Danio rerio: one gene and its partners. The protein of the gene in region 3 purifies or fractionates together with the protein of the main gene of each other region. This does not show direct contact. Links are inferred from orthologs where the notes say so. Each region holds a gene or a part of one and is shown on either strand. Other genes may lie near its edges.

What was found.
Region 1: the proteins of ppp6r3 (region 3) and ankrd28b purify together in Homo sapiens (co-immunoprecipitation; 3 studies listed by BioGRID and IntAct, with this or other methods). This does not show direct contact. The link is inferred for Danio rerio from reciprocal best matches to the Homo sapiens genes PPP6R3 and ANKRD28.
Region 2: the proteins of ppp6r3 (region 3) and ppp6c purify together in Homo sapiens (affinity purification with mass spectrometry; 10 studies listed by BioGRID and IntAct, with this or other methods). This does not show direct contact. The link is inferred for Danio rerio from reciprocal best matches to the Homo sapiens genes PPP6R3 and PPP6C.

What each region holds. Positions count from the first base shown.
Region 1 is NC_133191.1:21,397,827-21,409,459, reverse strand, and holds the start of ankrd28b (serine/threonine-protein phosphatase 6 regulatory ankyrin repeat subunit A), read right to left. Parts: upstream 5,472-11,633; 5' UTR 5,295-5,471; coding exon 5,268-5,294; intron 1-5,267. UniProt on the Homo sapiens protein: Regulatory subunit of protein phosphatase 6 (PP6) that may be involved in the recognition of phosphoprotein substrates. Involved in the PP6-mediated dephosphorylation of NFKBIE opposing its degradation in response to TNF-alpha.
Region 2 is NC_133180.1:32,594,002-32,605,423, reverse strand, and holds the start of ppp6c (serine/threonine-protein phosphatase 6 catalytic subunit), read right to left. Parts: upstream 6,976-11,422; 5' UTR 6,899-6,975; coding exon 6,824-6,898; intron 6,106-6,823; coding exon 6,010-6,105; intron 5,900-6,009; coding exon 5,834-5,899; intron 5,722-5,833; coding exon 5,580-5,721; intron 5,496-5,579; coding exon 5,416-5,495; intron 1-5,415. Other genes in the region: myo1hb (unconventional myosin-Ih), read right to left, coding at 8,886-8,912, 9,571-9,670, 9,778-9,875, 9,997-10,067, 10,854-10,989.
Region 3 is NC_133200.1:11,434,153-11,445,049, forward strand, and holds part of ppp6r3 (serine/threonine-protein phosphatase 6 regulatory subunit 3), read right to left. Parts: intron 6,761-10,897; 5' UTR 6,591-6,760; intron 6,481-6,590; 5' UTR 6,474-6,480; coding exon 6,247-6,473; intron 5,745-6,246; coding exon 5,558-5,744; intron 3,901-5,557; coding exon 3,763-3,900; intron 3,563-3,762; coding exon 3,497-3,562; intron 2,795-3,496; coding exon 2,682-2,794; intron 2,551-2,681; coding exon 2,437-2,550; intron 2,351-2,436; coding exon 2,221-2,350; intron 1-2,220.

The DNA of each region.
Region 1 (11,633 bases), on a different chromosome or scaffold from region 3:
GAATATTCGCTCTGAAATAGCATGTAAGTGTGCCTAAGTAATAAAAGTAATTCCTGCACGCCGCTGGCCAAACACTAACTAACTGGCGAATGACATGAACTAGTGGGTTGTCTGTCTGCTGTTGTGACGCGGTGCATGCGCTTGCGATTTCAGGGGGTGTGGCTTTGAATCACAGTCCCTCCCCGCAATCCAAAGATAAGATGCTAAGCGATTAGCATTTTGGCAGATCACTTACTGCACCTTTAAGTGTCATACTTGTAGGCAAAATGTGCTTTGTGCATTATATAGCTTGAAGCATCAAAATCATTACTCTATAGATTAATTACCATGTTTTTAAACATTCAGGATGCGCGCGCAAAGAGGTGGCAGAAAGAAACCGGGAGCGCTAGCATTTACAGCGAGGTAATGACATCAGATGCGGTGCAGAGTTTGTTGTTGTCTTAGAAATAAGATATATTGATTACATATTATATATATTATTTATACAGTGATAAACACAGTGATTCTGCAAAATTAACATTAAAGTGAGCGGTGTTCATCTGACAGGTCCATTTGCGATAGCACCCACCCAATGGATATTGGATAAGACTAAATTACCAAGCATCCAGCCCCAATTATACAATCTCATTGAAGCTCCAAGTGATTTTACAAGAGAGAAGTTAAAGGTCTACTAGGGCTGCTCGATTTTGGAAAAAATCAATCACGATTATTTTGGTCATAATTGTAATCACGATTATCAGTTGAAGTCAAAATTATTAGCGCTCCTGAGAATTTTGTTTTTTTAAATAACTATTTCCCAAATTATGTTAAACAGAGCAAGGAATTTTAACAGTATTTCTTCTAATATTTTTTTCTTCTGGAGAAAGTCTTATTTGTTTTATTTTAGCTAGAATAAAAGCAGATTTAATTATTTTGAAACCTATTTTAAGGTCAATATTATTAGCCCCCTTAAGCAATATATTTTTTGATTGTCTGCAGAAGAAACTACTGTTATGCAATGACTTGTCTCATTACTCTAATTAAGCCTTTGAATTGCACTTTAATTTAAATGATTGTATTTTGAAAAACATCTAGTAAAATGTTATGTACTGTCATCATAGCAAAGATAAAACAAATCAGTAATTAGACATGATACATCAAAACTATTGTGTTCAGAAATAAGTTTAAAAAAACTTCTTTCCATCAAACAGAAATTGGAGGAAAAGGGTTGCTAATATTCTGGAGGGCTAATAATTCTGACTTCGACTGATAGTCCTTCAGTCAGGAGCAGTAAGGGATGTTCTCATCGTTTGATTAATGATAAAACAGGCGGCAGCATTTCGCACTGTAACTTTAATGGTTTTTCTTTCACGTGTCTTTTGATTCTCAACTCGTTTGTTTATTACACAAATGAGGGTTAATATGAATAATCACTAATCGCCGCGTTTTGACACCTATTTGACCATTAAAGCACTCATGTTAAGATTACTTTAGATGTCTGCGCTCCTCTGCTCGTCTCAGTGTGCGAAGGAGACCGAATGCTGACCGCGTGCTTATGCGTGTGTGCGTGTTGTACACGCACATAAACACGCGGTCTTTCGCGCTTTTGGTATATGATGCAATAATCGTTTATCTCGATTAATGGTTTTTCATAATCGTTAGAAGCCATAATCGAAATCGAAATCGGATTTTCGATTAATTGCACAGCCCTAAAATCTACAAGTCTTTGGATGCCAACAATGATGTTCTGTGTGGTCATGTGCAAGAAATAATGCTCCATGATGACCAGATTTAACACTATGTAGAGCTAAAAGCCGAGATTCTGCCAAGCCAAAGACAAGGAAAGAAGATGGAGTTAACGTAACACAAGGCCTGGGTAATTAATCACCGACACACAAAACGACTGCATTCTGACACTGGACTGCCCCTGTAGGGCAGGGTATGTGAACCTATAGAGGTAAAGTCGGTTTTATATTCGCACATTCGGACTTTCTCCTTAACGATATAATTTCATAAAAATATTATTTGTAAACTCTAAATAGCGAAATCATATCAGCAGCCAATGACTATCAATATACAACATTGTTCACAGTCAAATAAACAGTCTTAATGTTGTTTTCAAGTCACACTTGCAGGTTATTTCAGACCGAGTATTCAAAGTGCCGTGGTAAACAATATAGGGAGTGTGTCACAAGTTCTCACTGAATGAATGTGTGAATATAAAACCAAGTTTACCTTAATAAACTTAACTTTCACGTTTCATTCTTAGTATTCAGTGTCCGCAGTTTAATTAACCAGAAGTAACTGTTTTTGCTGAAAGCATTTCTGCAATCAAAAACGAGTAATGCGTGTGATTCAGCATAGTGTGAACTTACCTGATATGACATGAAAACTGCAGAGTCTAGCATTTCTAATTAGCTCCTCACTTTATTCAGCTCCCATTTATGGTCTGTTTCCACTGAGTGGTACGGTACGGTTTGATACACTTTTATGGCTGTTTCCACTGTCAAAAGGCATACAGAACCAAACAGTACCGTACCACTTTTTCGGGACCCTTTCGAAAGGGTCCCAAACTGCAGAAAGGGTCCCAAAAGGTGGAGCTACACGCGCAGCTGAACGCTATTGGTTTACAGGGATACGTCATTCGTAGACTCAACAAGCCAGAATGTAAACAAAGGACCCGCCATGTTTAAAATACACAGCGAGAGATTACAGCGGAATTATAAATACATATGCAGCCATGGTCAATCCTGCAAACAAACCCTGTCGTCGTCATGATAAACAGCCACAAAGCCATGAAGAAGAGCAGGTTCACCCTGTGCCGTGAAGTTTTTAACGAGCCAGTCTGAAGCCCGAGTGGTTTCGCTTTCTTTCTTGCGCTCGCCGCGCGTCTCTATCTGAAATAACAAACTTCTTGATCTAATAATAATAACATGCACTTGATTATTGACAAGCTTTGGAAACCTGATCCTGTGAGAAGCTGACACATTCAGAAAGAAAAGGACAAACGCGAGAGTGGAGCGCGGGAAAAAGGCGAAGCCAAGGAGCACGTTATTTCTTCAGCAAACGTGAACAAACTGCCTTGTTTTAATCTTTATTATCACCTTTTGGACTATTATAAACTGGGAATGATGGAATGACTCTCTAACAGAGGCTTCATGTGCTGCTGAAGATTACAGACACAAATGAGAGGTTTTCACTGACTGTAGGCTATACTTTGTGTTGTTTTGAACCTAATTAACGACGAAATGTCTGCTTTGTGTAGTTCTTCTGTAGTTGGTAACATATCGGAGACTGTAAGGGTCTGTATGTGTTCATATAAGTTCATTTATTTATTTATTTAATATAATTATAGATGTTACAGAAGGCTATTTCGCACCATCATTGATCTGCAGTTATAATCAACTACTGTTTATAGAAAAGTTAGTAATAAACATTTACACAAGTATTTATGTGTGTAAAGCATCTGTTTTTTGAGAAGTGCTTTTCATATGATATGTGAACGACCTGTGCAGCTTTATTGTAGACATTTTCTTGAGCGAAAATGACGTCGACTGAAACTTTGTCATACACCACGCCCACCAAAAGGGTACCCTTGGTAGTGGAAACGCAAGCCTGATAAAGGTGACCCGTAACGACCCGAACCATACCGTACTGTACCAGTCAGTGGAAACGAGCCATTAGCCAAAGACGTCTGTAGTCGGTATTAAAGCAGTGTGTGGTGTATGGTAAAAGTTAAGTTTTCTATTTTTGGACTCAAATTTTTTTTGTAACCGGGAACCTGTGTGACGTCATGTGTGATGTAGGTTGGTAATTGCTCTATATTGGACAATCACTATGAATTGGTTATACCAGTACTTTGTATCAGCTGCAAAAACCCTGATCCGAGCATCCCAAGTGCAAAGACCGCAGCTTATACCAGAAAAGATATGCTGCCAATATTTATTTTTTAAAATGTCAAATCCCAGCAGTCACAGTTTTAGTTTGTTTATTTATATTAATGAGTTATTCTTTATTTTGTATTATTATTTTTTATTAATTAATTAGTTATAGCAGAAAATGTTATATTTTACAAAAAAAAGTGTGCAGCGTTTAAGAATAAAATGAAAGTTCTCTTGTTCACCTTAAATTAGTTTCAAATAATTTTGTTTAAAAATCATGACTAAAACCGTATGGTGAGCTTAGGATCATGATATCGTATCATCATATCGAATTGAGTCAAGTGAATCATTACAATCGTTACAAGTTAAATGAATTTTCTAATCATTTAATTGAACATCTTGTATCAATATTTAGTACTTATAAGCATTAATCAAATAAATGAAAATGGTTACATTGGTTCAAAAATTTTTTTTTTTAAAAATACAAAAAAAAATATATATATATATATATACACATGCACAAAATAAACCTGTAAATGTTAAATAAACACATTTAAAAATGTAGATATCCAGAGCGAAGTAGTAATATGGCTGCTTTATAATGGCAGTAATCAAATAAAGCAACTTTGGCAGTGTCATGATTACAAAGGTCAAATTTCCAAAATATATGACATCTCTGCTACACTTCTAAGGTCACTCTAAATTGGAATCAGCACCATGCAAGACACCTCGCTTGAATAAAGACAGTCAAGTTTACATTAACTTATATGCCAAAAGCAAATTCACCATCACACTCTTTCAATTGCTATTTGAATTATTCTACTCTCTGGGACCAGTGACCAAGTTTGTCCATCCCTGAAAGACAGCCATACACCTGTCGTGCACTCTGAAAAGTTGTCATATAACAGACTGTCGTGAAAGTTATCGCTGTAATTAACTTTAAATCCAGCAATGAAAAAAGGCTAAATCAACTTCTATATGCACTTTTACAGCCAGCAATGCAAAGAAATGTTAACCATTTAACCTCACGAAGCCAACTGTTGCCTTATCATGTACACAACGATAAAACTGTAGATTTGTGCGACTTAAAATTACACTTATCATATTACAGAAGGCAAAATTAGTACACTTAATAGCCTGTGATCTGATAAACTAATATCGTGGCTCGCGCACATTTAGCTTAGCAACTACTAGCCACAATCCCAATGGACGAGAAAACACACACCCAAATAAAAACGTTTCAAATTATTATTCTATTACAGCGAAATGCAGCGCGTATTTACTCTGTTAAACAGCTTTCATTCCGTGGTATCGGATAGTGTGATCGTCTGTGATGTTGTTGGGCAGTTGACTAGCGTGTTAGCACTTGTTAGCCGAACTCGGCTAGCTTTTTCTGACATCACTTACCTGGTCTCTGATTTTGAGAACCACCATGTTTCGATGCGCTCGTTGGCTCTCATGCAGGACTAAACGTAATGTATTCACCACCACCACTTGAATGCTGATTTTTAAGAGCCGGTAAAACTAGCGTATCCAGTAGGCCTGGGTCTCCTATTTGCCACTGATGAGCAGGGGAGAAAACTCCATAACATTACCGCCACTGCTACCTCTGAAAAAACGAACACGACGATTGGTTAGACGGCGGTTCGAGCGAGAGTAAGAACAACAGTGATTGGATAATGGGGGAGACGCTTGCATGTGAATCGTACAACGTTGTTTTGTGTGTGTGTGTGTGTGTGTGTTTGTGTGTGTGTGTGTGTTTGTGTGTGTGTGGGAGGGCGCTGCAGCTTATTTTCAGAGAAGCGTGTGCTTCTCTATCGCAAAGTTACTTCCTTCCACTGTTTAACTTACATTTTTACTGTTACACTGTTTTTTCGATTATTTTTAAAGAGGAAACAAGTTTTCCGACTTTTGATGACACTAATGAACTATAATGGTAAATGCAACTTCTTCTCACCATCCACTATTTATGAGTTGTTGTTGTTTTTTTTTTTTTTTGCTTTTTACAAGAACCAGCACATAGTTTTATTATACAACAAAATCACTTTATCAAATTATCAAATTGCATATGAATATATAGCACACATTTTCCAATTTTAGTTATTAACACGATTTATTAAATTCACTTTTACTACAGGAAATGCATATATAGAAACATTTAATACAAAAATGTTAAAAGAGGAGCGTACAATGCATCCAGAAAGTGTTTATAGCACTTCGCTTTTTCCTCATTTTTTGTTACAGCCTTATTCCAAAATTTATTAAATTCATTTATTTCCTCAAAATTCCACACACAATACCCCATAATGACAATGCAAAAAAAAATTTTTTTTTTTTTTAATTGTTGCAAATTTATTAAAAATAAACAAACCTGAACAATCACAAGTAAGTATTCACAGCCTTTGCTCAATACTTTGTTGATGCACCTTTGGCAGCAATTTCAGCCTCAAGTCTTTTTGAATATGATGCCACAAGCTTGGCACAGTTGTCTTCTGGAATTTTTGCCCATTGCTCTTTGCAGTACCTCTCAAGCTCTATCATGTTGGATGGTAAGTGACAATGTACATTTTTAGATCTCTCCAGAGATGTTCAATAGGGTTTAGGTATGGGCTCTGACCGGGCCACACAAGGACATTCAGGGAGTTGTTGTGAAGGAGTTGTTGTGAAGCCACTCCATTGATTTTTGGCGGTGTGCTTTTTTTATTCAGGATGTTTTTGTACATTGCTGCATTCATCTTTCCCTCTCTCCTGACTAGTCTTACAGTTCCTGCTGCTTAAAACATATCCACAGCATGATGTTGCCATCACCATGCTTCACAGGGATGCCTGGTGATGAGTGGTGCCTTTTTTTTTTTTTAAACGTAACACCTGGCATTTACTCCAAAGAGTTAAATTTTAGTCTCATCAAACCAGAGAATTTTGTTTCTTATGGTCTGAGAGTCCTTCAGATGCATTTTAGAAAATTCCAGGCAAATAGTGGCTTTAGTCTGACCACTATACTGATTGGTAGATTGCTTGCACAGATTGTTGTCTTTCTGTAAGGTTCTCCTCTCTTTACAGAAGAATGTTGGAGCTCAGACAGAGTGACCATCAGGTTATTGATTCCCTCCCTGAGGCCCTTCTCCCCCGATTACTCAGCTTAGATGGCCCGCCAGCTTTGGGAAGAGTCCTGGTGGTTCCAAACATCTTCCACTTACGGGAGATGGAAGCCACTGTGCTTATTGGAACTTTTAGAGCAGCAGAAATTTTTCTGTAACCTTCCCCGCCTTGTGCCTCAAGACAATTCTGTCTTAGAGGTCCACAGACAATTCCTTTGTCGTCATGCTTGGTTTGTGCTTTGACATGCACTGTCAACCCTGGGACCTTATATATGCAGATGTATGCCTTTTCAAATCATGTTCAATCAACTGAATTAACCATGTGAACTCCAATTAAGCTGCTGTAAACTTTTACAAGTATAGCAACTATGTAATATTTTTGTAAGTGATTTCTTTTACTTTGTTGTCAAATAGGGGCCACGTGGTGGTGCAGTAGGTAGTGCTGTTGCCTCGCAGTAAGAAGGGTGCTGGTTTAAGCCTTGGCTGGGTCAGTTGGCATTTCTGTGTGGAGTTTTTATGTTTTCCCCGTGTTCGCATGGGTTTCCTCTGGGCGCTCAAGTTTTCCCCACAAGTCCAAAGACGTGTGGTAGGTGAAATGGGTAAGCTAAAATTGTCCGTAGTGTATGTGTGTGAATGAGAGTGTATGGGTGTTTCCCAGTGATGGGTTGCAGCTGGAAGGGCATTCGCTGCTTAAAACATATGCTGGATAAGTTGCCGGTTCATTCCGCTGTGGTGGACCCTGATGAATAAAGGGACTAAGCCGAAAAGAAAATTAATTAATGAACGGGTTAGCAAATATTTATGTGGAAGATTCCAAGTAGCATCCCAATTTATTTTATACGTGGCCAGACATTTAAAAGAAGAAGGTGGAATTGTTTTGGTTAAAATAATTCTGCATTATACGATTATTGAATTTGTTTTCAACTATTGATATCCCTTCTATCGGTAGGATCCAAATTAAAAGTTTGTACTCCTTTCAATAAAGTTTTTAAATGGAAATGGCATTAATTACTGTGTTGTATACTGAGGGTTCAAAATTGAGCTTTTTTAAAAACTAAGAAAATAAATATAACTTACCAATGCAATGCTATCTAATAATTGACTATTAAATCAGTCAAAAAATATTCTTGAAAAATAATAATTTGTTTTTGTAGACAATACTTAGGTTGTTCCAAATGAAGCAGTGGTGAGGAGAAAAAAATGTGTTCATGAATAACCATGATAAAACTAATACAAGTAGTAGGCTAGTATTCATTCTGTAAATTAGACGTAGACACATTAAAATTATATATTTAGCCTTTATTAATTTCTGGCAATTCACTTTATATATGGCAAAGTGAGACACTTCAAAATTCTGAGTGAGTATATAGGCTATCTAAGTGTAAATTAACACTAAAATAAGAGAAAACCATGCTCGTATTGGTCTCTTTTTCATTGAGTCTTCTCTTTGCATAACAGGAAATACACACAAATGTTTTCATAAGTCTGCGCTGAAAACAATGAAACCGGTTCCTTGTATTGTGCCTTAAAAGGAGCTCGGCTGATAGTTTCTAGAGAAAATGAAAGTTATCTTAGGGGATAGGAATTAGATTCATTTAACACATGATACATGCAGACAAGTTTAAGTTTTATTTGAATAGGTACAAAGACAAACTATTCTGAGTCTGACGTAGGCCTACATTTGAACAAGCGCCAAATAAACACGGTAGAAACAGACTATTTTATCAGTGTACACCAGATGACGCTAAAGGTTAAAGCTAACATTGCCTACTTTTTGATGGCTGCTAGGAGGCGAGAGAAACAGACATTCAGTCTGGTTCTTGACAGGCGACTTGAAACTAGGTTATTTTTTTTTCGGCTTAGTCCTTTTATTTATCTGGACGCCACAGCGGAATGAACTGTCAACTTTTCCAGCATATGTTTTATGCAGCGGATGCCCTTCCATCTGCATCACACACACGCACACACACACACACACACACACGCACACACACACACACACACACACACACACACACACACACACACACACACACACACACACACACACACACACACCACACACACACACACACACACACACACCACACACACACACACACACACACACACACACACACACACACACACACACACACACACACTACAGCCAATTTCAATAGATATTAAATCACATCATTATTTAGCTGCACAACAATCTTTATAGATTGCAGTATCAGATAATAATGATGGATATAAGTCAAATAGTCATCTTATATTTTAAATGTTTATAAAGAGGACAACAACAATGCCATTGGTGTAACATAAAGCATGTAAATGTAGCACTAAATGTAGCCTAACAATAAATGTAGCCTTCTTTTAAGATAAAAGTTTAACTTTTATACATTTTAATAAGTACAGGACAGAATAAGTATGTTTTTGTTATTTTAATCCATATATTTGTTACACTGAATGATGTACAGTGATGGAACATTATTTCACACATATTTTATTTTCATCAAACTCATTTGTAATTATAAACATACTCATTTAAAATGTTTTATGAATAGAAAGTTAGCTTTGAACATTGAATAAGGGTGGTTCTACAAACAAATTTAAGTTGTGGCCATGTTTACCATGTCTACAAGCAGATAGATATTTTGGTTTCATATCTGATCATTTGTGATGTCATGTTGTAGACCTGGTGCAGTGCAATTTGAGCTATATCCAATGCTTTTGAATGGATTCACCTAACATCTAACCCTACCCCTCACACAGTGATGTCACTAGCTCCATTTGAGTGCATTGTGTCTGGGATTGCAAGTGATGCAGTCTCAGCTTGCATCATAAAGGCTGCATCCAGATACTATTGGGGATGTACTACCACATTTATAGTATTTTTAATAGGTTGGCACAGGAGGGAGACGGTGCCACTGTGTCAGCCTTTTAAAAAAAATCCTAGAATTGCCCCTGTATATCTGTATAGTAAAATTAGATGTTTCCATACTAATTAAATTAAACAAATAATTGTATTCACAGTACTACACTTGAAAACCAACAGCAGTTGCTTAATCTTAAAATGATCAGACAATGGAACCAAAACATTGCCTCTGCTTGTATAGTGTCACATCCCCGACTTGTTCCTGCTGCTCCATTTACCATTCTCTCTCACCATCACGTTCCCTCAGTACCAATCATCGCTCCGCATCTCCTCCGCATACTTCCATACTATATAGTACGCTAAAATCAGTATGCGAGCCGAGTAGTATGTCCGAATTCATAGAATTCGAAAATCAGTATTCGAGAAGTACCTGGATGACTTACTACTTCCGGCGAGATTCTGGAGTGCGCATCCCATGCATGCTGCGCTATCCCATGATGCCCCTCGAGCGAATTCTTTTTTTATTATTATTATTTTTTTTATTTTTTATTTTTATTATGCTTTAAACAACATATACATGACAATACAGCAAACAAAACAATGTCAGGGTGATAGAAAGTAAATGATAATAACAATACATAAAATAAAATAAAACAAACATAAAAATAAGAGTATAAATACTTAACTAAAGATTCTTACAAATATAAACAAGCAGGACCTTTACATTAATCAAAGATATTGAAACTAGAGCACAGTTGGACAGTTTTAATGGCCTTTCGATTAGCACTATGCTGAATAGTGCAAAAGTAATTTTTCAGTTCCTTATAAAACACAGTAAAACAAGGTTTTTTGTTGGAAAATTTACACTTATGAATATGAAACTTAATTAGCAAAATAAATAGGTTAATAACAAAAGCTTCATTATTCAAATTATCATAATTAAAATACCCCAAAATTACAGTTTCATAATGCAAATTAAAGTTAAAGAGTACCCTTTTCTTTATAAAAACAGAAGCATCATACCAGAGCTTTTTAACATAACCACAGTGCCAGAAAAGGTGGGGTACAGTTTCCAAATGCAAAGAACAAAAAGAGCAATTTATATCAATATCCTTTTTAAATTTACTTAGGAAATGTTTAACCGGATAGAATTTATGAATTAGTTTAAAAGATATTTCTTTTATCTTATTTGTAACCAAAAATTTGTGAGGCAATGACCAAATACTTTCCCATTTAGGAATTCTTACAAAATTATTCCAATAGGTAGTAGAGCAAGGTTTAGATACTACTTGATTTACAAATAGAGAGCGAATAGATTTGTTATTTTGAGACTGTGAGAAACAAATTTTACCACACACTGTATCAACTAGTTTGATTATGGGCTTATGAATCCAAGTTACACCTCTAAATAAGGAAACAATATTAGAATTAATTGCAGAGAAAACAAGAGAAAATTCCTTGGGAGTTACAGGAAAGTTAAAATGTACAAGAAACTCGTCATATGTCATAAGATACCCTTGAGTTTAAACAATTGACAAACTAAAACAATACCCTTTTCAAACCACCTCTCCAAAAAGATACTCTTGCATTTATACAAAATACATCTATTGTTCCAAATAAAATAACGTTGTGGTGAAAAATTGTGCTTGTAGATCAGTTTCCACGCCAACAAGGCTTGAGCATGAAAAGCAGAGAGCTTCACTGGTAATTTCTCAATTTTATAATCGCATAATAATAAAAAGGAAAGACCTCCAAGTTGGTCAAAAATAAAATTGGGAATAAAATTCCAGAAAGAAGGTTTATTTAGACAAAACT
Region 2 (11,422 bases), on a different chromosome or scaffold from region 3:
ATCATATAAACGTGATCTTACAAACTTCTAGCAGCTAAATGTGTCTGGAAAAATATCCAAAGGCTTTTATTCTAACAAACCGCGCGGGTGTAAATGCGTCTGACTGTTGTGATTGGCTAAAGCAGACGTCTCACGTCAGCACGTTCTAGACGTGCACGCGCTTATTACGGCAATATTCCTTCTGCATTCACACAGCGCAGCATTCCGGCAAATTGCCGGTAATGTTACAACTTCTCTTTCCGGAAAATAGCCATAACGAATTTACCGGTATTTTCAAAAGGGACCTGTTCACACATATAACCTTTCCGGAAAATTTCCGGCAATTTTCCGGAAAGGTCTGTATAGGTGAAAGGGGCTATTGACAAAATAAGACCATAAAATTCACTGGTAAAATCAACATTATATAGGCTAGAGTAGTTATACTGACACTGTAAACATTTATTTTCATGCACAACTGTGTGTTCGCTATGAAAGAAAAAACATCAAATGCTTGTCGCAATCATAACTCTATAATGCAGTATGAGTATTTAAATGATGTGCACACTTTCAGTTTCATTTTCACTGCCGTGTGCTGTTCATACTTTGCGTGCAGCTCTCAAACGATCACCCTGTGCCTCAAACTGAATATTATTTACAACTTTATTACCTGTTACTCACAGCCTACACAGGTTCTGTTCACTAAAGTAGACGTGTGCGCGTCTATCATTAAGTAGAGCACGCACCCACTCACTCTGTGGTAACAGCTCACGGTCAGCAGCTCACGTAATGTGTGATTTCCCAGCCGCTATTACAGCATTATATGAAGACAAAAATGAAACTTTTAGGTGAATTATACCTTATAAATATGTAGTCAGTATGTGATTCTTTCAACATTATTTGGAGGTGTCCATGTCGCTGAGCAATGTATGTGAAACAATGAAAAGACTCTTGCAGCCACCTTTGATTTTCTCCTGAACTTGAAAATATGATTGGCAAAATCGTAGAAATGCTGGATTAAGATCCTCTAGGGGGTCGAATCGAGATCGCAATCTTTTTTCGATTAAATGTGCAGCTCTAAACTGTACCTTTAAAAACTCAAGTACATGCACAGAACAACAGAAGCATTTATAGAAAATAAACATAAATACCCCGCTCGCTTTCTAAGCCTTGTCTAAAGAGTTCTTTCTTACACCCCAATGATTAGTCACACGTTTAACAGAAAGGGCTGCGATTGGCTCTAACGCTCTGCCATCACAGCTGATCCATGATAGACGCAGAGAAGAAAACTCGCTGGGCAGACACACGCTTGTGTCTTTTTCCAGAAGTATCATATTTCCAGAAGAACATCAACAGCCAAGAGGAGAGGAAACTATACCTCATGACAGCAGGTCAAAGGTCCACAGCAAGAGTAAGAAAAATGGCGTTTACTTTTATTTTCTCCAAAATAGTGAAACATGGGCTTCTGCTGCAAGTGTCAATAAAAGAATGTCCAGCAAACCCACGTGCAGTGAATTGTGCACAATTTCTGCGTTTTTACGTAGTTGGAACATTTTAATTACTCGCGCTCGCCTCTCTCGCCATAGTAAGCTGCGGCGACATAGTGCATAAGAGATAAATGGTGCTCCCAACTTCAAATATTTAGGAGCACCAGAAAAAAATTTAGGAGCACCAAAAAAATTTAGGGGCACCATTGCAAATTGTATTTTAAGGGATTTATTGTATTTTAAAACAACATCAATAGGACTAACAAAAACCAGAAACCAATATCTAAGTAATGCTGTGATGACTTACTGATATTTGTGCAATAATTCTAAAATGAATGTCTAATAATTACAGAATATTAATGATGATGAAAATGACAATAATACTAACAATTAATTACATTTCTCATCATCATACTGCCTTAAATGTGCTTAAATGCAAGTTATCTGCAGTAAAAGTCTGTTACTTTATGAAAAATAAATTTATGGTTTGCATCAATCAAAAATAAAGCATTGCAGTAAGAAATATTTATTTTGCCCTATTGTTTTTATGCATGTCAATTTAATAAACAATATTCCTGCTACAAAACAAATGAAAGATTATAATAAATCAGTCAATTCAAGTCTTAAAATGTAAACAACTTATAAAAAAACATCCCATAATGTAAATAAGTTGTCACTTAATAAGCATCTGTGAATAACTCAATTTTGACAAAAATATCATATAGATAATTCTAAGGTGACAAAGTGTCGAGACCTGTAAAGGACCACCAGAAACGGTTGTTTTGTTTATCTTATGATTAAAGTTGTTGCACGTCCGCCGGTTCCTGCATCAAAATGAGCTAGTTTGAGCTGCTTCTACATCAGGGGCAGGGCTCGAAATTAACTTTTTTACTTGGTAGCACCGGCGCTCCCAACTTCAAATATTTAGGAGCACCAAAATAAATTTAGGAGCACCAGAAAAAATTTAGGAGCACCCACCAAAAATGAATGAGCACCGCTGCAAATTGCTTTTTAAGGGATTTATTGTATTTTAAAACAACATCAATAGGACTGACAAAAACCAGAAACAACTATCTAACTAATGCTGCGAGGACATTGATATTCGTGTGAAATAATTCCAAAATGAATGTCTAATAATTAGGCTATAGAATATTAGTGATGATGAAAATGACAATAATAGTAACAATGAATTACATTTCTCATTATGATACTGCCTTGAATGTGCATGAATGTATGTTATCTGCTATAAAATGTCTGTTACTTTATGAAAAATAACTGTATAGTTTGCATCGAACAAAAATGAAGCATTGCAGTAAGAAATATTTATTTTGAACTGCTGTTTTTATATGCACATCAATTTATTAAATAATATTTCTGCTACAAAACAAACAAAAGATTATAATAAATCATTCAATTCAATGATGAAAGCTGCAAAGCAGTCATCAGTAAATAAATCAAAAATAATATACACCTCAAAAAAAGAATAGACAAAAGAAAGAAAGTAAAGTCTCACTTCTATCACTCTTTAAAAGTTTTGGTTTCAGTTTGTGTCAATTTAAAGGTTCAGTCTGAGCTGATCTTCATCTTTCTGTGTTAGTGGAAAAGCAGGCGAGTCAGCTGACCCAATTTATGAGCAGGCAGAGCAGGATTCTTGCGATGACCACCGGCGAAATACCGCTCTTTGTTATGAGCCGCAGTTTCAGTGTAAACTTAGTAAAGGCGAGCTTCTTTGGCGATGATATGTACAGTATTAGATTTGACTTTTAGCGGACATTTGCGCTGAACACGCAGTGAATGCGACGCATGGAGATTCGGGCGCCTTCTCCAAGAAGCGCGTACTCAATTGATCTCAGCTGGTGGATCATTATTCACCACGTGACGTGTCATGATCGCTCTCATCTGCACCTCAACTTTAGGTGGGGTTTGCAAACCTGTGTGCTTTAAGTCTTTACTCTTCAGCCGTTTGCATTTCCCGTGGTCATAAAAGCTCCTTTCCTGTCATCTGACAGCGGAATACCTTGAGTGAATGAAAGCTAATATGAACCAATTTAGCGGCAGGGAAGAGCGATTCAGCACGTTTTTACAAAAAATCAAAACAGGTCGCACTACAACCATTATCTGCAGTCGCACTAATGCGCCCAAATATATTATGAGGTCGCATAGATTAATTTTCGGGCGCATGTGCGACCAAAATGGGCGCAATTTCGAGCCCTGAGGGGTCTCAAACTCGCGGCCCGCGGGCCATTTGCGGCCCTCAGTGCAATATTTTGTGGCCCGCGCCGACCGCTGTACACTGACAGAATCAGCGGAGCGGGGAGAGAGAGCGCTCCCCGCTCCGCTGATTCTATCCGTACACAGCGGTCACTGGCATTCCCCGCCCGCCGTGTAAACAAAGGGGCGGGGATGCCGGTGAAGTCACCACGCACCCCGCCCCTTTGTTAGACGCTGTGACGGGCGGGAAGTGTTAGGAGGGAACTCGCGCCGGCCAGAACCAAGGTAAGCTGTTCCAGCCCCTGCCTGCCACTTGGCTACCTATCTGCAGCCTGCCACCTACCTAGCTACAGCCTGCATCTTATATATATTATAGGTAGATACAGACTGGTACAGACTGATGTGACTGGAGTGGGGTGGGGGTGTTTTATTTATACATATACGCCTTTTTTTTAGGTGAGGGAATGGAAGTTTTGAGTGAGTTCCCCCAAGCCATACTGAGGGTCTCAACTGCTTCCGCTCTAAAGCCAAATGTGGTTCAGATTTGTGAGAAGAAGCGCTGTCAAGTCTCTGGCAGCAAGGAGTAGGCAAAAGATGCCATGTTCAGAAGAACTGTTCATAATCTTCACTCAATGTTCTATTAATGTTCAGGACACTTCATGTTCAGAAGAAATAATTAAAACTGTTAATAATGACATTTGAGGACTTTTTTTTGTGAAATCCCTTATGCGGGCCAGCCTCACCCAGACTTTGCCTCCTGCGGCCCCCAGGTAAATTGAGTTTGAGACCCCTGTTCTACATTGAGGTAGCGAAAAAAAAAAAAACAGTGAAGAAACTCGACACAGAGGAACATAAAAACCTCACTGCCAGCTAGCGTTTCGAAAGAGTTATTACAGAGCAACACAAACAGCGCGCATAGGATAGTGTAGAGGTTATCGGATGCACACTTCACAATCTCACTGGAAGCAAGAGGTGTTCCAAGTACTTCTCGTATACTGTTTTTTCCAAATAATATGAATTAAGACAAACTGCTCCACTTACATGTTGATTTTCCACATAGTATATAATAGGGAAATATGCGATTTCGGACACAGCCCTATAGTCATGACTATAAATTCAAGATCTTGGGTGCAAGTGGTCGAAATTAACTTCCTCCGCAGAGAGGCAGGGGGTACCCTTATAGATGGAGTGAGGGAGCTCTATCACTTAGGAGGGACTCAGTGTAGAGTCGCTACTCCACATGGAGAGACGTGGCCAAGACATCTATTTTGAATGCTTCCTAGAACTGTTCTGGACTTGTCCCACCAGGAGGAGGCTAAGGGGAAGACCAATGACTCGCTAAAGGAACTGTCACTCGCTTGCCTGGGAATACCTTAAGATCCCCCAGTGGAACTAGAGAAAGTGCCCAGAGAGAGGGAAGTATGAGGTTCTCTCCTGAGACTGCTGCCCCAATGACCTAGCTCCGGATAAGCGCAAGACAATAACTGGATGTATAGTTTCCTACATTTCTTTTATACCAATTCATACTTAGAAATATAAACAGTTTCATTAATCCAAAAATTATTTGATTTAAACAAAAACATCCTAAAATTATTTGATTTAAACAAAAACATGTGTTTCCTGAGTGAGGCCCATTAGTAAGAAGACCAAAACAAATATTGATAATGTTGAGATGTGTGATTGATAGATAGACAGACAGACAGATAGACAGACAGATAGGTATTCCAAAATCAACACTTACGGCAGCAACAGTGAGCATGTCGAATACTTTAGTGCAGTATCGCCAGGCATTAGCATTTCCATATTTAGTTTGGCACTCATCTGTAGACAGAAAGCCAAAACAATTAAAATCCCAAGTAAATTCAAAACAAAATATTTCAAAATCTCTGATTTCTGCAGCCTTACCATAAAAGCCATAGACCTGTGTAATCTGCCTACTCTCGTGATTGCCACGCAACAGTGTGATGCGGTCAGGCCACTTTGCTTTAAGTGCTAGCAAATATGTGAATGTTTCTAAGCTGTAATATCCTCGGTCAACAAAGTCACCCTGGATGAAAGAAAACATACCAATGTCTCCTCAATAGATGATGGTGGAACAATTTCCAACGCAGTACTAATCACAAATCATCAATTAAAATTATTGTTGTAATATACTTCACCATGAAAATGTAGTTTGTATCTGGTACTTGGCCCCCAGTTCTAAAGAGTTCACATAGGTCATAAAACTATTTATAAAAGAAAAAAAAAAGCTTAGTCAGTATGCATGTTTTTACAAAAACACGACATCAGCTCAACATCAATACCAGGGATGCATTAATGGAGCCTGCACACACACCTGTCCATGAATGTCCCCGCATACAGTGACTGGAGTGGATACTGGCTGTACATTTGATTCCTCAAGCAGAAGGTCACATACATAGTCACATAATCTCTGTCAAAGCAATAGAAATGAAGACAAGATTTGAACAAGTTTGTCAAGTGAATGCTATCAACGATGGTGACAGAAGCAGATCTAGCGGCGCATCTAAGGTCACATTTATTAATTTAAAAATGAGCTTTTTTTCCTAAGCCACATTATTTCAACATCGTATAATCATTTGTTTGATCACTGTTGCTATTTTTGTGTCATATTTGGCGGTACTGGATGAAACTGGTAAGACGTTGCATTGCATCATTATGAACTGATCCAGAAGCCCAGTTGTTTACGTACAAGAATTATATTTAAAAACAAACGAATGGAGGACGATTTAATCAAACCTGAAACCTGCTAACAAAGACGCAGATGTCATGAATTAAGATTTAACAAGGTTGATGATGGAAAGCATAAAATGGGCGTTTCAAACTAGTTCGCATGATAGCAACAGAAGTTAGCCACCCTATGTGTCCGCAAGAAAATAGTCCCTTACACAACTTTGTTATGCCCAACTGTCCTTACGGTCGTAACGTTATATACGATTATTTCTGAAAATACGAATGAAATCAATCCCGGAACATAAGATAATAGACTGGACTCATACGCAGCGACTGCATTGCACTGACACACTGCTATTTTAACACCTTCCGCCACAACCAACACGAGTTTATAAATACATCAATCGCTAGCATGTCCAATATTCTAAGAGAAACATAAAATTACTCAGATCAATCACCTTTAAGTCGTTCTCTGGTAGATATTTGCACTGCCTCGCAATTTCAACATACTTATCCAGGTCCAACGGCGCCATTTTAAGAACAACAGTCGATGGAAGACGCGAAGAGGAAGTCTTTCTACGTCACACAGAGTGGTGATGATTGACAAGATGATCAGCCAATCGCAGGCCAGATTTTATATGGAACTTGCAAAGTCGTTACATTCTGTTCATCGCGTTCTCAAAGTAAACTTGAAAAACTAATTTAGCAAGAGCCTGCTTATTAAAAAAAGTTTTTTTTAAAGTGATTCAATTGCGGTTGCTTCCATTCGGCTTATTATAAAAACATTCTCAAGTTACTGACTGACCACGAGGTGGCAACAGAGGTTTGCTTGACGCGTAGCCTTCTCTCCAAAAGGTGTGTGGTGAATTTTCTTTTCTTTTTACATGTCATTTTGGGGTTTTATATTAAAGAAAAAACTATTTCAACTTTTTGTAAACCTCATATTATTTATTATAAAGTTTTTTTTATTCATAAATGTAAATATACTCAATGTAAGCCAAATGAGAATAACAACTGCACTTGAAAACCACTACAGACTCTCATAACAAGAAAGCAGTTAAAACTTATAAAATATGTGCTTTATTTGATATCCTGCATTAATTTGTCTATTTTTTTCATGTGCCCTCTCATCTATTTTTGTTTCTTCTTTGTCTTTCTTTTGCTTTACGTTTACTATATTTCTTTAAAATTGTCCCTTTTCTCTTGTTGAAAAAATATTTATATTATTTGTGCTATACTTCTATCTGATTGTATTTCAGTCTTTTAAAATTGCCTGTTGTTATTGCAATAAAAAAATGAATTAATAAAAAAATGATTTCATACATTACTTTTATTACATTGCTTTTATTTGTATGCTTTAGTTGGAAACATCAGGAACCGTCCACCAAGTGATGACCACTGCAAATAGTTTATACAATAGATGAACTGAATTACCAAGAGAAAAAAGACATCACAAATTAAAAAAGTACAATACATTATTATAAAAATGAGTCTACCGTCTTGATTTCATTAAGTTACATATATTTCTGCTGCATTTTAAGACAACAGCCAAACAAATTTCAATGGATTGTTCAGATAAAGCATGACAACAACTGGCTGTCCAGGAATTACTATCAAACATATATCATATTACAGCTTACAAATATTACATATGTTCTGTATCTCATATTAAATGGCATTTTATATTTGAAACTTTATTCAAATTATGTAAATACATTGTTTTTTCTCATGTGTTCTGGGCATAACCAGCTTACGTGTATGTTTGTCAATGCAATGAAGCTGGCATGTTGCATGTTGTCAGGTTTTGGCAGTATGGGAGATAAAACAAAATACAAATACAAAAATGAGCACAGTATAAGTTTTTCTGTCATGATACCCAATGTATGAGATTAACAAGTAGGCTACAGCACTTCATTTGGACAATTTTTTTTAAAAAAAGTTCCGCTTTAAAGCAACAATTAACATACATTTTGTCCATCAGAAAAGTGCACAGTTTAGCAAGCTCAAAGACAAACTCAATTCCATTTGATAAGAAATATTAGTCCTTTTCATGAAATGCTGAATATTTATAACAAAATATGAGTTTATAAAAAGCACAACAAAACAATGTACAGTAAACAGCTAAAAATACAGAATTTAAACACTTCAAATTATACAAACGAAACAAAACAAAAAAAAACAGAAGTCCAGCTATTTTAATACACCAGCTCAACTTGTTGACTTTTCTTCTTAATAAATGTGAATGGTAAATGTGCGTACGTGAATAAATTGTTGAATAAAGTTTTATTATTCGTCCCTTGAAGAATAAAGTCATTTTTAAAAATATTCTAAAGCAGTTTTACCCAACTCTAATCCCTTGAGGAACCCTAAAAGCACATATTATGCCTCCCACATGTGATTCACATATTTTGTTTAGGTCTAAATGTTATTTTGTTTCTTATTGAGCTGATGAATGTATTAATTTGTGTGCCTCCATGCATTACTGTTCCACTGTGGAGAAGTCTGTGAGGTAAAACTTTGTCATCGAGATTTTGTTCGTGCAGATTCCTGCAAAAGAAAACATGTAAATATGTATAAATGATCACTGTGAAGGGATGTCAATTGTTTTATTTATTGAATTATTTATTAACTACACTGCATGATATTATAGCTTAATTAATAGCATAGTATTATTATCATATATAATGATAAACATACAGTTGAAGTCAAAACTATTAGCCCTCCTGTGATTTTTTTCTTCCCTTTTTCAAATATTTCCCAAATGATGTTTAAATATACACAAATATATATATATATATATACACACACACACACACATATATATATACACACATTATATATATATATATATATATATATATATATATATATATATATATATACACATATTATATATATATATATATATATATATATATATATATATATATATATATATACACATATACATATTATATATATATATACACACACACATACATACATACATACATACATACATACATACATACATACATACATATATATATATATACATATATATATATATATATACATATATATATATACATATATATATATATACATATATATATATATATATATAAAATCTGGCTTAATCTGTAGTCACAAAAAAACAGCACTAAATATGTATTGTTTTATAATATGTGTATTATGTTATTTAGATTGCATTATGTAGACCCACCACCATCAAGTGTCCGTTCTTGGCTCTATAGACCATGGATTCACTGCTACTCTTAAAATCAACAAAGCCTTCTTTCCCAGGCTGGATGTCAAACCTCACGCTACAAAAACAACAATGAAAAAATTCACTGTATGTAAAACACATTCATTTTAAACACAACAAATATTTTCTCTGTGTATTTGAGGCTGTTTAGACAAAATATCTCACCTCTCTTGTACAACTTTGATGAGGCTGCGGTTCTTTGTCACTACACAGATTTTTGTCAATGCCTCAAACAGATAGCTGCACTGCAAGACCAGGTCTCCCTTAAAAAATACATTATATTTCAGTGATATTGTAGGTTATATATATATATATATATATATATATATATATATATATATATATATATATATATATATATATATAGTGTTGTTATTCACCCACTTTTTGCTTTGTGTCTTCACACGCGACATGGAGTATCAGGAAGTTGTCACTTAAGTTGCTGACAGACACCCCTGTTAAAAGCAAATATTTATTATGTAAATAAAATTTTTGACAAGGAAATGAACTTGACTACAGACATGTCTTAATTTACCCTAAAGGAAAACAAGGCTTTGAAAGACAGACACTGTCTTCACAATGACATGCACTACATCCAGTCTTCTGATCAGTAATTGTTTTTAATTTTTCAATTGATTTCCACTTTCTAGAAAACTGTTATTGTTAGCATAATAATCAGTACAGTATTTTAAAAAACAGTACAATCCATAGAACTCACATTCCCCACAGCCTCATTTTCATTACTGTAAACAAATAGATTTATTTTTAACATTATGCTTTGTCTACTGTACTGGTTAATTTAGCAGTGACATGTTACAGGACTGTTAAAAGGATTAAAATAGGACTAAATAAACAACATAGTCTGAACAAAACAAAACTACATCAAGAGGTATATTTACACATCTCTAAATGAAATATCAAATTCTAGTTTTATATTCCACTAAACCATTTAGTTTAATAGACATCTTGGCTAAAACAAGGCTGAATTTGGCCTGTCATTGAAACTCTAATAGAAAACTAATCTATTTTTGGACTGTTTTTCAAAGTCAGATAGATTTTAACTGGCAGCCAAAATGTAGCCATGTTGTAGGCAAGACAGAAGAAAAATTATTGCTGGATATTAATATTAATAATATCAAAATATCATACATTTATAAATAAAAATACCCATGGATTATGAATTAATTGGACATTTCACACAATTTGAGATGTTTAATTAATGAACAACACTGAAATTTGACCTTTTAGAGAGCTGTAATTCACCCTCTGTTTGATTTTGGCCTCCTCCACCAGATACGCAGCGGCCTGAGTGAAGATAAGCTGTCTGAAACGTGGACGAAAGCCATTCCTGTCATATTTAATCACTGGAACACTGTACTGTACAGAGGGAGATAACACAATCACTTTTTTCATACCAGTGACATAAACATCTGTCCAACTAACAAATAAAACTCCAGTGTCTACTACACTTTGAGTTAAACACCTACAGACATTTAACTAAGTATTCCTGCAGCAGGAACAGAAATATGATTTATGAATAAAACAGAAATATGTTTACACCCAACAAATGAATTCATGTTCATATTTTATTAGTCCTCCTGTGAAATTTTTATTATTTTAAAAACATTTCTCAAGTGTTGTTTAATGGAGAGAAGAGTTTTTCAACATATATAATAGTTTTGACAATTAATTTCTAATAACTAATTTGTTCTGTGTTTGCCATGGTAACTGTGCATAATATTTTACTTGTTCTTTTGCAAGATACTAGCATTCAGCTTAAAGTGCAAATTAAAGACCTCACTAGGTTATT
Region 3 (10,897 bases):
ACTTTATAATATTGTGGTGTTTATGTTTATTGGCATACTAGCTGCACTGGCTATTACAAAGTAGATGTATAGTAGAGCAGCACAATATATTACAGTTTCAATATCGATATCGCAAAGTGCGCATCCATAATAGTCACACTGCAAGATATGCAATGTTGAGTCGGAATCATAGTTGACCAGAACACAACACGTGATATGTAGAGTCACTGCTAACTTTAACAATAATAAAGTGGAAGTTTATCGTTTGCATGCGTTTTTAAGGCCTGTGACTGGGCATATCTGGTTTAACCTCTCTTATAATGCTTAAACTAGAGCCTTAGTTGGTCCATTGTAACCTTTGATTTGGCCACCATCCCATTTGAGAAGAGAGTAAGAATGATGGGCAGGGTTGAGGCGAATGATTTTAATAAAGATTATCATTGTCATTTAAAATATCTTTGTTTGTTTTATTGTTAAGCTACAAAAAAAGCCAACTGAATTCAAAGGTTTCATTTAAATGTTAATTGCAAATACGTAGATAGATACTTTGTAAAAATGTATATACAGCTGTCACTCAACAGATAGCGGGCAATGCAGAAGACATCTACGAGCAAATCAAGGTAAAATCAGGTGCTGCTTGACTAGTGTAACTCTATTCTGTTCTAAATGTGATTGATTTTACTGTAATAAGTTTAATATAAAACTTAAATGTACACTGTATTATTTAACACAAAGCTATGGTTTCTAGTTAAATATTTAGTGAAATATTTTGGTTTTTGGCCCTTTATAAATAAAAGTTTGGGCACCCCTGGGTGAAACCATTTGGGCAGAAAAAAATGATGATGTTTGGAGGTGTAACAAAGATTAATTGCATTTAATTATTTATAGAATTTATGCAAAAAATAAATAAAATAAATCTTACTTATAGTTTCAGTCTTATTTCCAGTCTAAATATCTACATCTACAAAAATACGATTACTTTACATAGCCAATTGGCCGATAATATTGCTTGTTAAGGAAGAGTCTTAATTTTGTCAAATTTCTCTAAAAATTAAAACAAATAAATATTTTTACCTTTTGATTTTTAGATATCTGGACTAAAATGAGATCCGAGAAGAAGAAGAAAAAAAAAGCGTTTTTTGCATTGCGATTATTCCATTTCAGTACATGAATGCTGTTAGACTCTCTAGAAAACTGTCAAATAGAACTATTCAAGCCATTTTATTAAATTTTTTCATATCGCAATATTTATTGAGGAAAAATAAATGTATGAGATTATTTCAACATCATATAGCTTTAATGTATAGAAGGGGTTGAACAACTTCAGATTTTTGAAAGTCGACTTATGTTATTAAAGTCGAATTGACGTCGACTAGTCACTGGTGACGTCATCAAAAAAACACGAGACGCAAATGTTTTGCAACATGCCAAAATTTGCTATGTATTTACAGGAAATACATATACACATGCTCTTTGACAGTTCATACCATGTTACAAAAACAATACATCATTACCAATGATCACTTTTAGTAGAAAACGAATGCACTGTAAACACAGCCTATTTCATTAATAACAACATTTGCATGTGGCCTAATTTTAGTGCAAAATAATTGCAGTCAACACATTGATCATGTCTCGTACTAATAAAAATGTAACAATAACAGATATATTAAGTACAAAATAATGCAAATATCTCATCAACAGGCAATCCCATTACTGTTCTAGTGTGTCTTAAACATGTTCAGCTATAACCTGTTCAAGGGTATTTGCATGGCGCAATCTAATTGGCATACACCTGTTTTAAAAATACAACTATTTTAAAGAAAGCTGAAAACCTGTAACCTCTTCCATAGTAGAAAAAAAAACAAACAATGGAAGTCAATAGTTGCAGGTTTTCAGCATTTTTCAAAGTTTCTTTTGTGTTTAACAGAAATAAGAAACAGGTAAAGGATGAGTAAACTATGACAATATTCATTTTAAGCGAACTATCCCTTTAAATAAATTTAAAGGGTTTTCTGAGTACATAAATACATCTTTAAATGTATTTAAGCTATGCACGCAAGACAAGCTGTTCTTTGAAAGGGTCCAAGACTCTGCCAGGTTATATTAGCACAGGCACAAAGTCTCGTTGTGCAGAGCTTAATGTAATTAGGAATTCGGAGATTACGTTCTAAGTGAGGTCAGCTGATATAATGTGCTAAAGTTTCGCCCGAACACATTTCGCAGTGTTTTCCCGCTCACCTTTGGGGGTTCGAGCAAAAGCTGGTGAAAATCTTTAAGTCTGGGTCTGACGGCATCTAGAATGCTCTGATTGACGGAGAACGACGGATGGTTCATTCCAGGGGGGCAAATTTCCAGATGGCCTTCAAATCTGAAAGAGAAAACTGAAGATTATGACATGAACACAGACCCAAGAAACCTGGGGGGAGAGAGAAGGAAAAAAAAGACTGCACTTACGCTGGTCTCCGTGTTTCAAAGAGGGTTAGAAGAATCTGAATTACACTGACTATGGCAGACTCGTTCTTCTCTTTGTCAAAGATGTTTGACAGCAACTGCTCTACTGTCTCTTGCCTGAATAGGAAGACAAACGGTCAATTCAGAACTTAAGCATTAGCCTGAAACTAGAGCTCAACCTTAATCCCTCCAAAAATGCCAGTTTGTGAAGTCACTAGAAAGACTGTTATAGAAACTGAGCAACTCACTTCTCTAGAGTGGCCAGCAGGGGATCAGGCTCCGAGCTGCCCTGGACCTGGAACATTTGATCTCTGCTCAGCCGAATGATCTCACATAGCGACTGGGACGCGTTTGAGTGTCTCTACGTGAAGGGAACAAGCAATTATTGTTACACGGCTAGCGAGCAGGGACAGCTTACCAGGATAGAACAATAGGGGACGGTCAGCCGTGCAACAATAGGAATACAACGATTAATATTACAGAAACTATTATAATTAATACTTGGTACTATTTGTATTTAAAAAAAAAAAAAAAAACTTTTAAAAATAAAGAATGTATTCACAAGATTACAGTCACAGCCAAAATCATTCATACCCTTGGCAAATTCTGACTTAATGTTACTTTTATTGATGGAAAACGACACGGGCTTCTCCCAAAAAGACAATAAGATGATGTACAAGAGGCATCATCGTGGGAAAAATATTATTTCTCAGCTTTAATTTATATTTGAACTGAAGCAGAGATAACAAATCACACACACGCTTTGGTCATGTTCTAAAATTACCACATTCTGGCAATTATTATTACATAAGCATTGTTTTTTTTTTAATATTCATCAAATGCCTTAAGGTTTTATTCATAAATATAAATAACTACATAATAACATCTTTTCTATACATTTATCAATTAATATTAGATTATTCATAACTAGATTTTTTTTCTTATAGATAGAAACACTTCCAATAACATTTTATTTTTTAATTTATAATTAAAAACACCCCACAACATAGATGCTCCATAAAATATACAAACAAAAAGTGATTGATTGTTTGAATGAACTTACATCCTCATCTTGTGATGGCTGTACCATATCAACCAGCCGCTGTATAACTTTCTCTTCATTTAGCCACTGCAGAAGAACAAATGAAGAGGACACTGTGAGATGCTGTTACAATGACAGTTAGTGGATTACATAAATAATCAGAGATTTCATTCAAATGAAACACGTCAATATTTACAAAACAAAAACACCAAACCCCTGTACCACAACAAGACCGACACACCTTTACAGCAAGCTTACAAATACTTATTAGGGGTAGAAGAACTCACATTTAATACATCTTGTCTAAGCTGCTGTGGCTCAATGCAGGTGAGCATCCTGAGCAGGAGGTCCATAATAGCCGAGGTCCCTATGTGTTTGATCATCAGATCCACAAAGTCTTCCCTCTTCCTGAGGAACTCCACGATCTAGCAGCAAACATCAGATTTAGCTCAACTTGATGCAGTTATGGGCTTGTTTATACCAGACACTAAGATTTTTCATAAACCTTATTACAAGTGGACAATAGACATGGGATAACCATTTCAAGGTATCCTTGTATATAAAACAAGATATAAAATATGTGTTCAAACAAAGGGGAAAAAAGCTTTTGTTTTTTGGCCAGACATTTAAAAAGAATATATTTTAGAGCAGTATAATCACAATACTGTGAAACAGTACATTTTTATACAAGGTTATCATACTGACAAATTCTTACAGCGGCCCATGCCTAGTGGACAAAGCTTAATGGAGAGAGAAACCACATCCAGAGGTGCTCAAAACTGCATTAGACCAGATTGCTTTGGTCAAATGCATTTAAATAGGTACAAAACATCTAATAATAATTTAAATATACTGACCAAACACATGGTTGTGCTCGCAAGACATTCATGTTAATACAAAGTAAAAAGAGTGTACATATTAGGCCCTCCAGGATTCTGTAAATGCTGATTATAAACTCAAAATTAGGCTAATTTTGCAAACTTTGTGGAGCTTGCAAATTGTTTTTAACTGCTGCAGACTTCTTACAATTTTTGTGCAGTCATGGCTTCGTTCAAATGATGCCAAAAAGCACCATCTGCATAACTGTATATTATTGTAAATATTGTAAATATTCATTTAATGTGCCAAACCATCAGGTTGTCAATACACACTTCTGCAATGTGCATTATGAAATTATCGGCACACACATTCAAAGCCTGTTTGTACTAGCCCACATGAGTTGTCAATTGCTAAACTTCTATATATTGTATATATCCAGCTTTCATCATAGGTGTAGCCTCCACTCTCACATTTCAACTAATAAGCATGTAAACGCATAAGAGTGCAAGCTCTGCATCATTTCCATTAATGTGTTCAAATAGCGGTAAAAAAAAAAAAGTAAAAACTTTGTTATTTATTTATTTTGTAATTATCTTATAATAATTTTATACTTTCTCTTTTGCTCTCATTGTCCGTGTACACCTTGCTTCAATTTTTCATTTTTGGCTTAGCCAGTTCCAAATTATGATTGTAAATGTTACTCATGTATAATATGCCTTTTATTTTATTTTATTATGAACATAAACATTTTTATCAATGTTAAGAGTGGTGGTTTGAGAGGTAGAGTTTTGAGTACCTTTTTGTAGTAAGCTAATCTCACTGTGATAGAGTACTTCCAACAGAACTGATATATGGTCAATTTTTTTCTTGTCAGGATTTGAGCGGTACTGTATGTATGTAGGTTTTTTTCTCAATGAAAAAAAAAAAGGGTTATAAAAAATAAATAAATTGCTGCCAAAAAAATAGACTACTTAGCATTTATTTTCAAACAATTGGTTTAATTTTCCAATATGATAGAGCAGGCTTTAGTTCGCTCAGTGTTTCCGTTATATATAAAAGAGATCAATGGTTCTTGAAGGTCAAAAAAAAAAAGGATTAATTTAGATGTGCAAATTTGTGTATATTTTCACAGCAAAACTATAATAAATTTATTATTAAAGGCATTTTTTTTTTTTGGAAAAATCAGAGTCATTTTAGTCACAAAAAAATTTTTTTTGGTCACAAAATTCTGGAGGGACTGGCATAACCTGTCTGGGCACGCACCTGCTCTGGTTTTCTCCCAATAAGTATGCTCAAGACTTTGCTGAAGAAACTGGCCAGCAGTGGGTTGAGCGGAGGCTCGTTCTGTAAGAAGCTGTAGAGTTTCATCAGTAAACTTTCATCTTCACCCAGCCTATCGTTGATCTGGCCAACGTCTGAGGTCAGGAGTTCACAGGATATGTTGGGATACCTTTAACACAACAATCCAAAACAACAATTAATAAATCTCACATGCTTCAAATTAGACAACAAACTAGGGCTGCACAATATATCCTTTCAGCATCGATATCGCAATGGTCACACTGCAGGATATGCAATGTTGAGCTTGTACTATAATTTAACAGTTGCATGTGTTTTTGAAGCCTGTGATTGTATAAAGATTAAAAAATTCTATCATTTTTAACGTTAATAACGAGTAATCTTATTTTCAATTACTGTACCTGAATACTGATAGACTTGGAGAACGATAAAACAGTTTATTTCAACTGTATCTTTTTCTTTATTGGATTCATAGTTTGCTTATTAGATTTTATGCAGATGCACTCCCACTGCATAATCAACCTTTCATAATAAATTCTTTTTGAATAGAGATATTAAGTCATCTGGTGAAATTGTATTCATGTCGCAGAATAAAAAAAGCGCCGCAATGTTCGAATTTACGCAGCCTTACAACGAACAGTCCAGATACTAACTTATATTTGATCTTCTCCTCCACGTCATCGTTCGGCTCCTGGGTGATGTAGACCACCAGATCCTCCATGCACTGCGGCCTCACCAGGAAGTCCACGAGCTTGTGGTTCTGAGCCTTGCACTCTTGCAGGACGTCCTCCTCGTCCATCACCTCGGTCAGAGTAACGTCATCCTTCTCCAGAAGCGTGTCGATGTGGGACGTCGAGTGCAGATCAAACTTCCAAAACATGGTGCTGCTGAAGAATGCAGAAATGCGAGTGGGTGGCTTTCAGATGCAGGAAGTAAGAGTGAAACAGAGTTGTGCTCATGCATTTGAGTATTCTAATAACTACCCCATAGGCTTTACCTGAGCGTAGCAGAGTAAAAACTCTGATTAAAAATAAAATAATGCTTGTGCTCTTTGGGACTTCTGGCCCATTACAGGCACCACAGGCGGTAGAAACTGGACAGACCTTTGAGTAAAGGACACATGCAGCAGGAATGTCCTCTGCCACAGCAAATACACTCAACACACACCTGAAAAAGAGAACAGACAAAAAGGACATTATACTCGAGTAAATGCCTTTGAAAGAACAGTCAAATGTGTCTCCTTTAACTCAAACAATCAAAGGTTAGTCATCAGCTTTGGAGCAATTCCATGCAAATGTCAATCTTGCTATGAAAAAAAAAAAAGTTTTCACCAAAATAGCGAAACCCTTTTCAAGTTTTTTTGTGTGGGCTTGTATTTTACAGTAGAGCGAAAATAAACGTCTCTGTCAAATTTTTTAAACAATTATATTTGATTTACCAGAGTCACAAAAGTGGCAATTTCACATTTGTCACATCCATAACAAAGATTTTTCCTAATAATTGCAAAAAAGTCAAATAAAATACAATCAATCATGTTTGTTCTATAAAGGACCAACTCTTATTCTTTTGATTAGCATTATGTATTTTGGATAGTGCAGTTTAATTCACAAAATTTCTACAAAGTATGTTGTGTACTGCAAACTTTTTTAGTCACATTTATAAACTAAAACATATAGAGGTAGTATCTGTGATGTAGGGCTGGGCAATTTGGCAATAAAAAAAAATCTAGTTTTTTTTTTTATAAAGTTTGACCGATTCACGATTCAGATTTTTTTTTTTTTTTATTGTGTTACTAGTCTTCTCAAAACATTACAACATGACTGAAGTAAAACTCTCTTTAAAAGTAACTTGAAAAATCATCTGGTTAAGGAACATTGTATTTTTAATGGCCATGTCATACAAAAATCGGTCAAGGTGTAAATAAATGTAAAACAAATTTACGAGTTAAATAGCGTTGCTGAAGATTTGAACAAGAAATATTTGAGTAAATATTGCAGTTGCAGGAATACAGAGGTATTGTTTGCAAGTTTTGCTGAGCCTAGGAAAGATTGGCTGTCAGCTCGGCTTTGACTTTGTCTTCTTCTGAATGTCAGGTTGTAATGCTGCTGCCTTTAAATTAAAAAGATACAGTGGAAGAAAAGGACTGAACATGGAAACTGTAAAGCCTAATTTAACCCAATGCGTGAAGTTGTGGACGTATAGCAGGAGCAAATACAAGTACCAGATGTGTGTCTAATATAAATTAATACAGTTAATCTATTTTTCTTTTTTCCCCTTTTAAATACCGATCCTTTGATGCGCTTTGCTCCACTCTCTGTATTATGCTGCCTGATTTGTCTGGTTTTCAACTAGGTCCGCTAAATGATGTCATGGGGGCGGGTACTTTCATTTCACTGCTACAGGCCCTCACCTCAACTCGTGTTCAAACCATAGGTTCAAACCAAAAGATCGGCGCAGTTTTTCACATGGCAGGCTTTTACGTCGTTCATACATGTTGAGATCGAGTTTATCGACTTGATGAGGGAATGTCTTGACAATCCACACAGACGTGACTCAGACTAATGCAACAAGTGAAATCCTACATGACTTCACGCTTTAACAGGCAGTCAAGCAGGTTGCACACCAGAAGCGCCGCGACACGGCGCGGACATTACAGTTCAAACTATCACACACCTAACGGCACATTCTCATGATATTTAACATGAAACTAATCAGATGGCACCTGTGTCCTGAATCGTGGCTGGGCGGCGCCGGTGTGTGTATAGAAACCTGTTTAGAATTCTAAAATCCATGGCGCTGCGCGGCGCCGAGAGGCGCTTCTGGTGTGCTTCCTGCTTCATAGAGTGAACCAAAGTGCATTGGTCCATTATAATGTATTAAATATATATATATATATATATATATATATATATATATATATATATATATATATATATATATATATATATATTTAAAAATCACGCTTTCTCGATTTAATTCAAAATTAAATCATCTTAAAAAGTAAATTCGAAAAAAATTAGAAAAATCGCCCAGCCCTACTGTGATGTCACCCGTAGATTTCTGAAGAGCGCAAATTAAGCTACAAGTAGGCGTGGCCAACTGTCATCATTATGTTTGCATGTCATCGCATGACCTGGGCTGACCAAAAAAGGGCAAAGAGGCGGAGCATAACATTTTGCTTAGACAGGCTTTTTTTTTTTTTAAGGAGAAATGCTTAATACTTCTCTACCTGCAACTCTTGTGTTCTGACCACATGTGCTGGGTTTTATATCAATAAAGCATTGTTTTCATGACGTGTTTTTCTACAGGAGGAAAACACGAATAACTCCCAAATACTTCAAACATAGTCCGTGTTAGTAAAAGCAAGGCTATGAATTCCAGGCATAACCGGCGAGGCCTAGCTGACACTCAAGTGGCTACGCCCTTAATTATGCAGACTTAATTAAAACTAAACGAATGAGTTCGAAATAAATTCACCACCTCACAGATGTCATAAAGGATAATATTAACAATATGCACCAAAACCATCTTTTGTACCAGGCTGTAAACATGTTTTTATCAGCTGTAAAATTGGCTAATTTAGCATTGCAGTCAGTGAATATCTGGACTTCCTGGAGCCTGCCCCCAAAGGAGAGTTGATGAATTGCAGTTTCAGTTACTTCCATATTGGCTTCACGAGGAAGAGCAGGAGGGTGCCGCTTGATCACATCCATGACGCATGTTTATTTTCATTTTTAAAAATATCAAATGTTTACAAATCAACATTTTTCTGATCCTTTGACTTTCTTTTCAGTAGTTTTAGAAAATATAAACAGGTGTTTCAATATAATGTTAACGCATACTGTCTCTGTGAATTTATGTTTTAAATTATTACTGCAAATGTCACAACCATAATGCTGGAGTTGCTCTTTGCTAACAGCTATTTTTAGTCACAGGCATGGCATTAAAAAAAAAACAAATAACAGAAGAACGAGATTATTTTCCTGTTTGTCATGCTCTTAAATGCTCAAAATTTAAACAAACAACCTCCAAATGTTAAATCTATTCTAACTCTATAAAGAGCATGATTTCATACAGAAACAGTGCACAAAAATGGCACTGACAAAACAAACAGTAGTTTTGTTTGTGGGGACACTGTATAAAAGGCAGCTGAGAAAACCAAACAAGTTCCTTGTTGTGACAACTTAGCAACTGAAAAAAAGAAAAGAAATACAGCTTCACTTTTACCAGACTACCTCTTTTAAATATTTTGTAATGATTACTATCTCAATCTGTACATGACGTTGCAGTTTCATTTTCCTTTTAGTAAGCGGTTCTTTCAAGAAATGTACATGTGATGTAATGCCTGAAATTAAATGATACCAGATTAAATGCAAAAGTCCATTTGACAGCTCTGGCATCGTATTATTATAGCTGGAGACAGCAGCACGCAGCGATGCATTATTAAAGATCGAGACGAGAGACTGTTTTTCCAGTCTACAAGGTGGATGGACTCGCACCACTGAGGTGAAAGGTTACAAAACGCAGGCAAGCAGCCATCTTGACTTTCATGAATGGCTAAGAGGAAGGAAAGGCTTATTAATAGATTAAGGGGGTTGGGTTAGGTTTACCCAAAAGAGCTTTGACATTGGCCTCCATCCATTCCCCAGCAAACATGTGTTGTCATTTTTTACAGATTTTAAAAACACTGATAAAACATTTTAGGATTTTTTTCAAAAAAAAAAAAAAAAAAAAAAACTGAAAGAAAAAGCTAAATGTGATATTGACATCACAAGTGAATTACCACACACAACTCACGATTTCCTGAAACAGTCACGTTTTAGTATTATTAGTAGCAGGTTCATTTGTGCTAGAATATCAAGCAGTTCTAGTAAACTCAGCTGTACGCACAGACGTAGAAAAGGGATTTAAGCATCAGAATAAGTGTAATCAATCTTTACTTTTTCCACACATGGGGTTTAAAAATGGGTCACATTTCACTTTTTCCCCTATAATGACTATCCTACATTGTTATCATGATTTAAAGGAGATAGAAAAACTTTAAGCATAGCAACAGTTCAAAATATCCAAAATATCTTGCAAAACACAATAAAAAACTGACACATTATATGACTATTAAAAAGAAAAAGATCAGGCAAAAACATTAAATATTTATAGTTTGCCATTAGCTTTCTAAACACTAAATTTGTTCGAAGAAAGAAGTTATTCATTTAATGCATATTATAATTTAGCATAATCACTTGTACATCTGAATATATATGGGCTGTTTATTTATTTTTATAAAAATATTTTATACTGCATGAG